Linked DNA regions of Callithrix jacchus. The protein of the gene in region 2 purifies or fractionates together with the protein of the main gene of each other region. This does not show direct contact. Links are inferred from orthologs where the notes say so. Each region holds a gene or a part of one and is shown on either strand. Other genes may lie near its edges.

The links. Proteins that work in one complex are often made in the same cells at the same time.
Region 1: the proteins of CRY1 (region 2) and FBXL3 purify together in Homo sapiens (affinity purification with mass spectrometry; 4 studies listed by BioGRID and IntAct, counting the BioPlex papers as one, with this or other methods). This does not show direct contact. The link is inferred for Callithrix jacchus from reciprocal best matches to the Homo sapiens genes CRY1 and FBXL3.

The regions. Positions count from the first base shown.
Region 1 is NC_133502.1:38,295,652-38,302,274, forward strand, and holds the end of FBXL3 (F-box/LRR-repeat protein 3), read left to right. Parts: intron 1-4,007; coding exon 4,008-4,651; 3' UTR 4,652-6,499; downstream 6,500-6,623. UniProt on the Homo sapiens protein: Substrate-recognition component of the SCF(FBXL3) E3 ubiquitin ligase complex involved in circadian rhythm function. Plays a key role in the maintenance of both the speed and the robustness of the circadian clock oscillation.
Region 2 is NC_133510.1:109,861,279-109,868,676, reverse strand, and holds part of CRY1 (cryptochrome-1), read left to right. Parts: intron 1-3,255; coding exon 3,256-3,398; intron 3,399-6,713; coding exon 6,714-6,898; intron 6,899-7,310; coding exon 7,311-7,398.

The sequences.
Region 1 (6,623 bases), on a different chromosome or scaffold from region 2:
CAAGAAGGAGGGGTCATTTCGTGAAAGGGCTGTTATCAATTTTGTTTCAGAGTCAAACCATGAACTGAATTCCTTCCCAAAGTTAGTTGGCCTACGCATAGGAATGAACAAGGGCAGCTTAAGGGTTAGAGGCAATATAGAGTCTGTTAGGTCTGACTTCTTTCACTGTTGTTATTTCCTCAGTTATAATTTTGCAAAGGTGGTTTCATAGTGACTTTAGACTAGTTCTTCAGGAAAGGAAGGGAAGAGAAAGAATACTTTCAATACTTTTTATTTGAAAAGTATAACTGAGGTTTCTATTGAAATTTCATATTTACATATTTTCCATATATATTTTTGCATATTTGGACAGTTTCTCTAAGTTGAAATTAGGTACTGTTTTCTAATTTCTTCACTGAACATTTAGTCAATTTTGTTTCCATTTCATATAGTTGTTATAATTGTTTGTAACTGGACCTCTAGGTTAGTATGACTGTTGGTCCCACTAGGTGCCTGTTGCTTCCTTAATATTAATTATCAGCTTGAACTAATGAACATTTAGTTACTTAGTTCCCTTGTTGATAAGCCAACATTTGCATTATAGTTCTAAGGTTGTACACTTGTTTCTGCTTTTTGCTGTGATTTAAAAAAATTTTTTTAAGTCACATATAGCAGTTTGCTTGTATTAATTTCTTCTTCAGGGTACATTCTTAAGAAGTGGATGTCCTAGGACAGAGTCCAAATGTTTTTGTGCTTCTTGTCATGTTGCTTTTTTCCCAAATGAGTTGATCTGAGAAAATTAATCAATGATTAGTGCCACCACTAATCATCAGTTTAGTAGCAGCTTTACTGTCATATAATTCACAATTCTCATTTAAAATGTATAACTTACTTTTAGTGTATTGATAAAGTAGTGCACACATCACCACAATTTTAGAACACTTTTATTATCCTAAAAAGAAATCACATACCTCTTAGCTGTTGCCCCCAAAACCTCCATCCCAACCATCCCTAGGCAACCACTAATCTATTTTGTGTCTCTATAGATTTGCCTATTCTGGACATTTCATATAAATGGAAATCTACCTTTTGACTATTATGAAAAACGTTGCTGTACACATTTATGTACAAGTTTTGTGTGGACATATGGTTTAATTTCTCTTAGGTATATACCTAGTGATCATATAGTAACTGCCTGTTTGAGGAAATGCCAGGCTGTTTTCCAAAGCTGCAGTGTACCACTTTACATATCCACTAGCAGTGTCTTCTAACACTTACTTGTCTTTTTGATTGTAGCCATCCTAGGGGGTGTAAACTCATTGCAGTTTTGAGTTATTTTATTTTATTTTTGAGACGGAGTTTCACTTTGGTGGGTTACCCAGGCTGGAGTGCAATGGCGCGATCTTGGCTCACCGCAACCTCTGCCTCCTGGGTTCAGGCAATTCTCCTGCCTCAGCCTCCTGAGTAGCTGGGATTACAGGCATGTGCCACCATGCCCAGCTAATTTTTTGTATTTTTAGTAGAGACGGGGTTTCACCATGTTGACCAGGATGGTCTTGATCTCTTGACCTCGTGATCCACCCGCCTCGGCCTCCCAAAGTGCTGGGATTACAGGCTTGAGCCACCCTGCCCAGCTGAGTTATATTTTGTTGATGACTAAAGGTGTTGAATATCTTTTTTTTGCTGAGACAGGGTCTCACTCTGTCACCCAGGCTGGAGTGCAGTGGCACAATCTTGGCCCACTGCAACCTCCACCTCCCAGGAGGAGGTTCAGGGGCTTGTCCTGCCTCAGTCTCCTAAGTAGCTGGAATCACAAGCACCTGCCACCACACCTGGCTAATTTTTGTATTTTTAATAGAGATGAGGTTTCACCACATTGGCCAGGCTGGTCTTGAACTCCTTACATCAGGTGATCCAACCGCCTAGGCTTCCCAAAGTGCCAGAGTTACAAGTGTGAGCCACCACGCCCAGCCCCTTTGCCTTTTTTCCAGTTGGGGTTTTTCTCTTAATTTATTGAGTTGTAATAATGCTCTGGTTTTATTTTACCTTTGTCACTGTATTATGTTTTTAAACACTTGGAACTGTATATTAGTTTTCTTTTTGCTGCATAACTGATAGCTATACACAAAGCAGCTTAAACATTTTATTCACTCCACTCTTCTGTACATTATAGCTGTAGGTAGGGCTCAAGTGGCTTCTCTGCTTACAGTCTTAAAAGGCTGAGAGGAATGTGTCAGGAAGGTGGGCTCTTCTTATCTGGAGGTTCTGGAGAAGAACCACTTCCACATTCATTCAAGTTACTGGCTGAATTCAGTTCCCTGTAATTGTAGGACTGACATCCAGTTTCCTTATTGGCTGTCAGCAAGAGGTTGTTTGGGGGTCTCTCTGCTCTTAGAGGCTGCTTCTGTTTTTCTTTTTTGGCTCTGTCTAGCTTAGAGCCAGCAATAACATGTTGAGTCCCCTTTGCATTTTGAATCTCTGACTTCCTCTTCTCCAGTCAACCAGATAAAACTGCTTAAAAAGGGGCTTATGTGATTAGACTAGGACCACCCAGATAATCTTTCATTTATGGTCAACTGTGCTGTATATCACAGTCATGGGCATGATATCTTATGGAATTCACAGATGCTAGGCATTAGGGTATGGAATCTTGAAGGCCATTTTGCGAATTACACCTGCCACAACTGCTTTTGTAGTTATTAAATGATACTCCAAAGTTTCTTTTATTTGCATTGTTGGTTACCATTTCCCATGTGTTTGTTCTTCTTTTATATTTAAGCTTTTTGAGATTGCAAAGAACAGAGGTATGCTTAGGTTACCTTGAGTAATCAAGGGGTATTTCAAAGTATACAAGATAGCCAGGCATGGCGGTGTGTGCCTGTAATCCCAGCTACTCGGGAGGCTGAGGCAGGAGAATCACTTAAACCTGGGAGGTGGCTGTTGCAGTGAGCCAAGATCGCACCATTGTATTTTTGTATTTTATCCTGGGCGGCAGAGTGAGACTCCATCTCCAAACAAAAACAAAGTATATACCTACCTTGTGGAAAACAGAAACTTTGTGATTGCTGAATACTGAGACATTACTCCCTCTTTTGGTGACTCATTCCGGTGATTCAGTGATTCTCTTGTAACTCTATTGCCTATCTTTTCCCACTGTTATAAAGCTCTGGCTTATATGTGGGCCTCTGTCTTGTCACTTCTTAAGCAGTACTTAAGTGCATGGACATAAGAATCACTTAGCCTGTGTTTGTATTGCAGCTTTGCTATTTTTAGCTAGCTGTCTCCACTTCAAGTTAGAAAAATAATACTTTTTCAGATTTTTTAAATTATTTGTGGGATAACCTCTAGTACCTGGCATATTATGCTTGCAACAATAAATAGTAGATGAAAATATGATGTATGCTTTTTTGTTCCTATTCCTGTTTCTAAACATAAGAAAGAAATTGATTAAGTGGGTTACTTTTACCAGATAATATAAGGTGCCTCTTTGGGGCAGAATTATATTGGCCGGGCATGGTGGCTCAGTATGTAATCCCAGCACTTTGGGAGGCCAAGGCAGAGTCAACAGAATTGAGTAATTATTTTTGACATGTTTATTTAGTGTTATCTTGGTATTTTTTCTTAGAAATTTAATATTAGGGTTTGAACTTCAAAAAATGTCCTTTGGCCTCCATTGCAGTGATCATGTAATTATTTAACCTATAAGTTTAGTGTTAGTAATAATTTTTTAAAAATCTGGCACTGTGCATTACTGAAATGCACTAACCTTAGTGATGGTATATTTTTTAAGTGACAGAGTTCATTATTGTCTGAGTCGATAAGTTTTATTTTTTTTTAATAGATGATGGGATTTAGAAAATGTGTGTGACTTCCTAATTCAACTATACAAATAAATTTTAAATTATATAGTTTTGTGGCAAGGGAACTGTGACAAACTTTGTGGAACATGTACTTGATCCAATTTTTGAACAGATAAACTTTTACAAAAACTTGCAAATAATTAGTTTTTTTCCTTTCTTTCTTTCAAGGTATCCTTTGTGTGGCTGATCAGTGCCATGGCTTAAGGGAACTAGCCCTGAACTACCACTTACTAAGTGATGAGTTGTTACTTGCTTTGTCTTCTGAAAAACATGTTCGATTAGAACATTTGCGTATTGATGTAGTCAGTGAGAATCCTGGACAGACACATTTCCATACTATTCAGAAGAGCAGCTGGGATGCTTTCATCAGACATTCACCCAAAGTGAACTTGGTGATGTATTTTTTTTTATATGAAGAAGAATTTGACCCATTCTTTCGCTATGAAATACCTGCCACCCATTTGTACTTTGGGAGATCAGTAAGTAAAGATGTGCTTGGCCGTGTGGGAATGACATGCCCTAGACTAGTTGAACTAGTAGTGTGTGCAAATGGATTACGGCCACTTGATGAAGAGTTAATTCGCATTGCAGAACGTTGCAAAAATTTGTCAGCTATTGGACTAGGGGAATGTGAAGTCTCATGTAGTGCCTTTGTTGAGTTTGTGAAGATGTGTGGTGGCCGCCTATCTCAATTATCTATTATGGAAGAAGTATTAATTCCTGACCAAAAGTATAGTTTGGAGCAGATTCACTGGGAAGTGTCCAAGCATCTTGGTAGGGTGTGGTTTCCTGACATGATGCCCACTTGGTAAAGACTGCATGATGTAGGGCATGATGAATAGCACCTTAATTTCAAGCAAATGTATTATAATAAAAGTTTTATTTGCTGTAGTTCTGATATAATTCTATTTTGTGGCACAGAAATTTGATATCTTCAGTCAGTATATATAAAGATTGTTTATTGGAAGACCCTTGAATGAATTTTGGTCAGAAAACTTTGTTTCCTTAGCCTAATAGCAATCATATCTACGAATATTTTTTTAAAATGTGGTTCAGATGTGAAAGTAATAACCAGTTATACATATTAAACAGTTTACAGTCTAAAGGAAACAAAACCTATGTAATATCCAAGAAGTACTAATAGGTTTTCTGAAATGTTATGTTTTCTATGCATTTTTTAAAAAATGTAAACTTGATACTTTAGGGTCTTCAGTTATACATACACCTGTTATAAGGTGTTTAATATAGCTCAGGAAAGTGAGCATTTTGTGAGAAAAATGGATATATCATTTCTAATGAAAAAGATTGTTACAAAGCTGTTTAAAGAAAAAGATACATATAAGTAATTGAAACACTTAGAAAACTGATAAATGTCACACAGTGGTATTATAGAAGGATAATACAGAGCCAAGACAAATTAAAAGACAATAAATGGACAGAAAGGAGGCTGTGTTTAGCTTTGTATAAACTTTTAGGTTTGCTCTGTAATCTGCTAAACCGTATACATTCTCTTGTGGTATGTTACTATGTATGTGGCACTTGAGGCACTGTATGTAAAGTAAGGAATGCTTTACTAGTTCTCCTTGGTTTTCTTATCTTTGTTTAAACTAGCTTTGAAGTATTAAACAATAATTGAAATGAAAAGCTTACCTATTTTAAAAAGCCAAATTTAAATAAATATAGAACTTTAAAATGTTAATCAGTTGTCTCCAAGAAAGAATATTAGTTTCCAGTAAAGTTTAGTGATGGCTCACTCATTTTTCCATTTTGGAAGTATATAGTTATGTTAAGTAGAATTTTTATAAACCACAAAAGAAGCACCATTGTACAGTCTAGCATAAACAGTAAATATAAAAGAGGATATATTTAAATTCATAATCATTTTTTCAGTAAATATTGCTCAGTGACCTTGAAAATTTTAATAAAAAATGTCTGCAGTTTTGTGATTGTTAATTTGGTTAAACTGATATTTAAGTTAGGTAACATTTTATATTACTTTCATATGAATAAAGGTAATCCATGCATTGTAGAGTCTTAACGTTGAGTTTTTTAGATGATATAAACTTTGATTCTGGGCACTAGTGTTAGTAGATATTACTGCCCTCCTGAGGGAAATCAGAAGTGATTTACCCCCAATGGAATACATTAATTCTTAGTGGCTCTCTTCAGTAGTGTGACTTTTAGAAAGTATCTCAGTAGTTAAGGAAGCTAAGTCTTAGATCTATTTTTAAAATGGATGGCCTTCTTAAGAATAAAGCAAAAGGTGATTTTCTACATAATTTCTGCTTCCCAAAAGTGATAGGCTCTCCTGTAGCAACAGGAGATGTGAGAAGATAAAAGGCTTATCTAGACTCAAAATTTAAAAGCAATTACAGTAATATTTCCCCTTTCTAAATAGTAAAAAGCTGATTGTACAAGAATTATCTGTGCTAGTGAAGTTTTTCTTCTTTGAACAACTTTGGAAAATGGATTTGACAGTACATTATCAGTTCTAACCAAAGCTTGTATTTGGAAATTTACTTTTTGTACAAATTGAATTATATAATGCTTAAAATACTTTAAGTCACTTTATAAGCAAAATGCATAGTACTTAATTTGTTTATACAGTAAAGTATATGTTAAATGCTTTTAGCAATTTCAGAATAAAAAGTTACTAATGCTGTTGTATTTTATACTTTTAAAAAACTACCCAAACATACTTATTTGACTTTAAACTTAAAAATGTATGTTTTTGTTTCACATCCATATTTGATGGGTATTAATAATATTAATGTTTATGACAGT
Region 2 (7,398 bases):
AGGTGTGTGTTGAACAAGTAGAACATGTGGACACAAGGAGGGGAGCATCACATACTGTGGTCTGTTGGTGGGGGCTAGGGGAGGGACAGCAAGGGGTGGGGAGGTATAACGAGGGGAGAAATACAAGATATAGGTGATGAGGAGATGAAGACAGCAAACCACCTTGCCATGTATGTACCTATGGAACATTCCTGCATGATCTGCACATGTACCCCAGAACCTAAAGTACAAAAAAAAAGTGCTGTATTGGTTTGTTCTCACACTACTAATAAAGACATACCTGAGACTGGGTAATTTATAAAGGAAAGAGATTTAATTGACTCACAGTTTTATATGACTGGGAGGCCTCAAAATCCTAGTGGAAGATGGAGGAGCAAAGGCACATCTTATGTGGCAGCAGGCAGGAGAGCCTGTGTAGGGGAACTGCCTTGTATAAAACCATCAGATCTTGTGAGACTTATTCACTGTCATGAGAACAGCACAGGAAAAACCCACCCCCATGATTCACTTACATCCCACTGGGTCCTTCCCATTACGTGGGGATTATGGGAGCTACAATTCATGATGAGATTTGGGTGGGGACACAGCCAAACCATATCAACTGCTAAATAGCAATTTGATAAAGGAAGTCTACAAAACACACACACAAAATCATACTTAAAGGTGAAACACTGAATGCTTTCTACCCAAGATAGGAAAACAAGGATATTTACTTTTACCACTTACTGGAAGTCTTGTCGGTACAGTCATGGAAGACAGTGTAGATTATTAGTTTATCGCCTCATACCCCATTTCCATATTCTGTATCATAGCATCCTTTTTTCCCCTAATAATTGTTATATATTCATTAATTTACCTCTGTATTGCCAGTCTTTCTCAGTAAGCTCCTGGAGAGGGGCATATGGCATAGTATCTGTCATAGAATTATAATAAATATTTGGTGTATTAATTGCTGTCATTCATTGAGGGCTTGCTCTGTACTGTGCTCTATCCTAAACACTTTACATGCATTATGTTATTTAATTCTTTAGCAACCCAATAATATGGTTAATTTTCTCACTTTACTGTACCAAATAGTTACATAGGGTTTATTATGTGCTAGGCACTCTCTATACACCTTACTTGTTCTACCCATTTTATAGACTAGGAAACAGGGATTAAGAGTTTAGCAGTTTGCCTAAGTAGTTGAGCCAGTCTTTGAACTTAGGAAGTCTAACTTTAGATCCTGTGCTTTTAAACTATTCTATACTACCTCACTAGAAAACAAAGAAATAGAATGCTTTTCTATTCTCATCTTAATTTAATTTTTAAATTTAAAAAATAGCAAGTTTGGGCCAGGCACAGTGGCTCACGCCTGTAATCTCAGCAATTTGGGAGGCTCAGGCAGTTGCATCACCTGAGGTTAAGAGTTCAAGACCAGGCTGGCCAACATGGAGAAACCTTATCTCTACTAAAAGTACAAAAAAAAAAAAAATTAGCCAGGAGTGGTGGCAGGCGCCTGTAGTCCCAGCTACTCAGGAGGCTGAGGTGGAAGAATCGCTTGAACCCAGGAGGCAGAGGTTGCAGTGAGCCAAGATTGCACCACTGGACTCCAGCCTGGGCAACAGAGGGAGACTCTGTCTCGAAAAAAAAAAAAAAAATAACAAGTTTGAACTAACAAATCTGTGCAGTGCAACAAAATGTAAAATTAAAAGTTATCTTATTTACACTCTCAAATTCTACTCCTCACAAAGTCAACAGCCCTTAATGTCTTGATGTGTACTATTTAGGAGTTTCAAGAAAGGAAAAATTTCTAAATGAGATACTGTTTTTTTCCGAGTAGTATAGCAGACATTTAAAAACGATTACTGGCTAGGCATGGTTGCTCACGCCTGTAATCTCAGCACTTTGAGAGGCCGAGGTGGGTGGATTGCTTGAGGTCAGGAATTTGAGACCAGCCTGGCCAACATGGTGAAACCCCATCTCTACTAAAAATACAAAAATTAGCTGGGTGTGGTGACACGTGCCTGTAATCCCAGCCACTCTGGAGGCTGAGGCAGGAGAATCTCTTGAACCTGGGAGATGGAGATTTCAGGAGCCCAGATCATGCCACTGTTATTTCAGCCTGGGTGACAAAGTGAGACTTTGTCTAAAAAACAAACAACAAAAAAAAACAATTACTAATATATATTATTGGCAAATGTATGGAGATCAAGCACTTAGGTACACTACTGATGGGAATCTAAATTTGTACAGTCTTTCTGGTACATAATTTGACAGCCTATCAGAATTTTGAATGTGTTTATCTTTGATCTATCAGTTGTTTTTCAAGGGTTTTTTTCTAGGAAAAAAATTGGGTAAATACCATAAACTTTGTAAGATATGTGCATAAAGGTAAAGATACATACTGTATAGTTTATAATAGCAAGTTTTAAAATTCAGCATTCAAACAGTCCTTGACTAATCTGGAGGTGTTTGGTGAATTACAGTATGTTACCATTTAGACAGTTAAATAATGGTAGAATTTTTTCTTTGTGAGATAAATCAGAGTAGACTTAAAGTAAAATAAACCTTCTCCTTAAGAAAAGTCAATTCCTTTAAATCAGTTTCCTCATTTAAAATCATTGTAAGGTGATGTATGGAACTTACTAACATAGCTCCTGATAATAAGTAATGGCTATTATTACTACCATCTCCGAATTTTTTAGTTAACATTTTTTGGTAATCAGAAAAAAAAATTTACGTGTGTGCGTGCACACACACAATATGACCTCAGCTAGGTAGCTTATACCATATCAACTATCAAAGGTTTGTTAAAAACCAGTTCTTAGATTCAACAAACATAAATTTAGGTGGTCTGGCTCCCTGTGAACTCTGGCAACTCTCTAAATTTTAAAAATAACCTTAACTCCAAAATGGAAATCCTAACCAAAGTGCCAAACTCTTGAGTGTTTTTTTGAGGCTCGAATTAAATAATGTAAATATGAGTAATTTGAAAAAGTGCTCTACAAACACATTTCGTGTAAGAGCTGGTTTTAAGCATATTGCTTCACTAGATTATCTATTGCCTAACATAATGCCTGGAATCTAATGGGTTATACATTTATTACTTACATATTTTTTAATTGATAAATTTTTTGCTTTTTTCCTGCATATTCAAAGTTTGATTTATTATAATCCTTTGATACATAGATTTTCAGTTTTTTCACTTTTTGTTATTATAGAAAAAATAACTATTAAAATTGGTTTACAGTGTTGCTCTTTCTCTTAATTTAGGAATGGAACATTACTAAACTTTCAATTGAGTATGATTCTGAGCCCTTTGGCAAGGAACGAGATGCAGCTATTAAGAAACTGGCAACTGAAGCTGGAGTAGAAGTCATTGTAAGAATTTCACATACATTATATGACCTAGACAAGTGAGTCTTTTTTTTTCTTTTCTTTTTTTACTATGGGAAAATGCATATAACATAATATTTATTATCATCTTAACCATTTTTAAGTATATAGTTTGGTGGTGTATAACTACATAGAGAAGTTTTTAACTGAGGTTTATGAAGTAGAAATCAGAGTTATGGGAGAATTAAGTGAATATATGTCAAATCCTTAGCATTTTATTTCACTGCTACTGACCCAACAACAGGTATCAGCATTTCCATTTCAAAACTGTTATGGATTAAGACTGTTGCAAAATTTTCCTCGACTACTCTTAACTCAGCCTCCTGTGGTCTTGCCTTTCTGGGCTCTTAGCATTATCAATTTATAGTTATATTATTCATAGTTATAAATTGCTTTGATATTTTGTATGTTTGTTTAATGTTATCTTATTTTCATATATATCTATCTGTCTGGATTTTAAATCCAGATGCAAATTGGATGTAATATAATGTGCATAGCTATAGTCCTCTGAATAATCGCATAATAGGATGTTTCTCAAAGTGTATTTCTTGAAACACCAGTCCTGGCTGATGCTTTGTCCCACTGAAATTCTGTGGTAAAACTTAAATTTAGGGAGTATTATATGCTTGAGTCTTAGAGATCTATAAAATTTCTTAACTTGCTAAAACTTTTAGCATGCCATTGTCCTTTTAAGTACTGAAATCTTATAATTTATGTACCTTTTAAATCATTTTGCTTTTTAGTAATTTATATATTTTATCTAGTAAGACAAATTCTGTAACATGACAAACTAGTTGATTTGATTTGACATTTTAAGTGTATCAAAAAATCATGATTTGATTCAGACAAAGGTCTAACTTGATATTAAGCTAGAATTCATATATCTTTTAGTAATAGCCTTGCTTTCTATCTCACCAATTTGCTTAACTTTAGGGAGCTCATAGAAAGGAGGTGGCAAAACAGGATAAAAGCAGTTGCTTCTAAGTGGGAGATTCAGTGTTATGCATAAAATTAGTGTTTATTGAATTGAATGCAAATATTTACTATATGTAATCTATCATATTAAAATGTAACATATAGAAAGTGTTTTGTCCTAAGATTTTCATTTTGCTGCTATTGTGTAGTTACCAATGTCCTCAGTAGTAGTATTGTTAATACATTACATTATCAGTTTATTCATAGGGTTGCAATGAATTTGTAGCAAAATTCATGTAATGATTTTGTAGCAAAATTACAAATTCATGTAATGATTTTATAGCAAAATTTATTGCAAACCTATGAATAAACTCAAAATACACAAAGCAAAATTTACTTAAACAGGATAGCTTTTATGGTGATTGCTTTCTGTATTACTTTCTGTATCTGTAGTTGACACATAACTATGTATGGTATGAAAAAATACAATAAAATATACTAAGAAAACCTTGATTTGCCATTTATCAGTTATATGACCTTGACTAGATTACTTAACCCTCCTGGTAGGCCTGTTTCCACATCTATAAAATGATGGACCCCAAAACCTAAAATGCAATAAAAATAAAAATAGGCCGGGCGCAATGGCTCAAGCCTGTAATCCCAGCACTTTGGGAGGCCAAGGCGGGTGGATCACGAGGTCAAGAGATCGAGACCATCCCGGTCAACATGGTGAAACCCCGTCTCTGCTAAAAATACAAAACATGAGCTGGGCATGGTGGCGTGTGCCTGTAGTCCCAGCTACTCGGGAGGCTGAGGCAGGAGAATTGCCTGAACCCAGGAGGCAGAGGTTGCGGTGAGCCAAGATCACGCCATTGCACTCCAGCCTGGGTAACAGGAGCAAAACTCTGTCTCAAAAAAAAAGTAAATAAATAAATAAATAAAAATAAAAATAAAAAATATATTTTTTAAAAACGATGGAATTGGATTTCACCTGTGATTTTTTATTAAGGCCAAATGCTAAGCAAATGGCCATAGTGAAAAAGAGTAGTTATTCCAAAATAGTGTTTAAACTTAATCTAAACTACCATTGGCAAAGCTAGTTGTTTTTTTTTTTTTAATTAAGACTTGATTGAGGTAATTAGTGATCAGAAGTAAATGAAAAGGTAAATTTAAATAACTTGAAATTTGGGGGCTTATGTGTTCTAAGTATGTGTCATAGATACATATGCTGACATCTCTAATGAAGGCATGAGTACAATGGTAAATAGAAAGTAATTGTAATTTACTTTTATAGTAATATAGAATCCAAATTAATAAAATTTGCTGAAGGAAATAGGGGAATTGTATTAGTCTGTTTTCAGGCTGCTGATAAAAACATACCTAAGACTGGGCAATTTACAAAAGAAAGAGGTTTAATGGACTTACAGTTCTACATGGCTGGGAAGGCCTGACAATCATGGTGGAAGGCAAGGAGGAGCCAGTCACATCTTACATGGATGGCAGCAGGCAAGGAGGGAGCTGTGCAGTAAAACTCCCCCTTTTAAAACCATCAGATCTTGTGAGACTTACTCACTATAATGAGACCAGCATGGGAAAGACCTGCCCCCATGATTCAGTTACCTCCCATAATATGTAGGAATTGTGGGAGTTACAATTCAAGATGAGACTTTGGTAGGGTCACAGCCAAACCATATCAGGAATGTAGATCCAAAGATACAAAGTAGAAGTTATATAAGATGAACAAGTCTAGAGGTCTAGTGTGCAGAGTGAGGGTTTTAGTTATTAAAATTGTATTTTATTTGGAATTTTTATCAAGTAGATTTTAGCTGATTTTGTCACACACATACAAAAAAGTAACTATATGAGATTTATAAATACGTTAATCTGCTTCACTATAGTAACCATTTTACTGTCTACTTGCATACCATAACGTGTTGTAAAGCTCAAATATACACAATTAAATTTATTTTTTCTAAATGACACCTGCTGATTTACTCTTTCATATAATTGTCAACCTGGTTTAGTTTTTATTGGTGATTGAGAGATTCTTTGAGCTGGGCCATAACGTGTTTTGCATATGTCTGTGTGTTTTAACTTTTTGTTATTGCCTTTAGACTGATTTACTTACTTACTTGGTTTTTTTTCTCATAAGTCCTTAATATTCTTTGTCTTAAAGGTTTTGATACTTGCATAGTGTGTATATATTTGATACCTAGAGTATCTAGAAGCTAAAGGGAATGATTTTTAAACTCATTAATCATTTTGAACACATTTCTTCGTCACTATAACAAGCTAACATTCTCCTTGAAGATTTCAGTGATTAATTTTATTTTCTGCTTTTTAAGCCTTTTGGGAGCTTATTAACCAAAACTTATTGCCCTCTTTTATACTAACCTACATTTTACTAACTGTTGTTATAGGATCATAGAACTCAATGGTGGACAACCGCCTCTAACTTATAAAAGATTCCAGACTCTCATCAGCAAAATGGAACCACTAGAGATACCAGTAGAGACAATTACTTCAGAAGTGATAGAAAAGTGCACAACTCCTCTGTCTGATGACCATGATGAGAAATATGGAGTCCCTTCACTGGAGGAGCTAGGTGAGTATAAACTATAATCAGTGTGAGTCTTAAAAGTTAATAAATCATAAATAACTCAGAAAAATTCCCTTTCAATTTCGCCATGTAAAGTATTTTGCATTAGGAGAGAAAGAAAGGGTGGGGGAAGAAGAAAGAAAGAACTCTTTAAGAAGTGATATGTTTGTTCATCATTTATGTGTTCTATAGATATGTAATCTGTTGTTATCACCTTAAGATGTACATCCTAAAAAATTGAAACCATGTCAAACTATGTCATATCCTCTTTAGGTGAGGGCTTTTTTAGGCCCTCAGTTCCTTTTTATGGTACTCTCTCAATTTTTCTGCAAAGTAATTTATTCTCCCAGTTATTGGGGTTAAATAAAAATTATTTGAGTTTCAGAAGAATGATATTTTTTTCTTTTCTTTCTTTTAGGGTTTGATACAGATGGCTTATCCTCTGCAGTGTGGCCAGGTGGAGAAACTGAAGCACTTACTCGTTTGGAAAGGCATTTGGAAAGAAA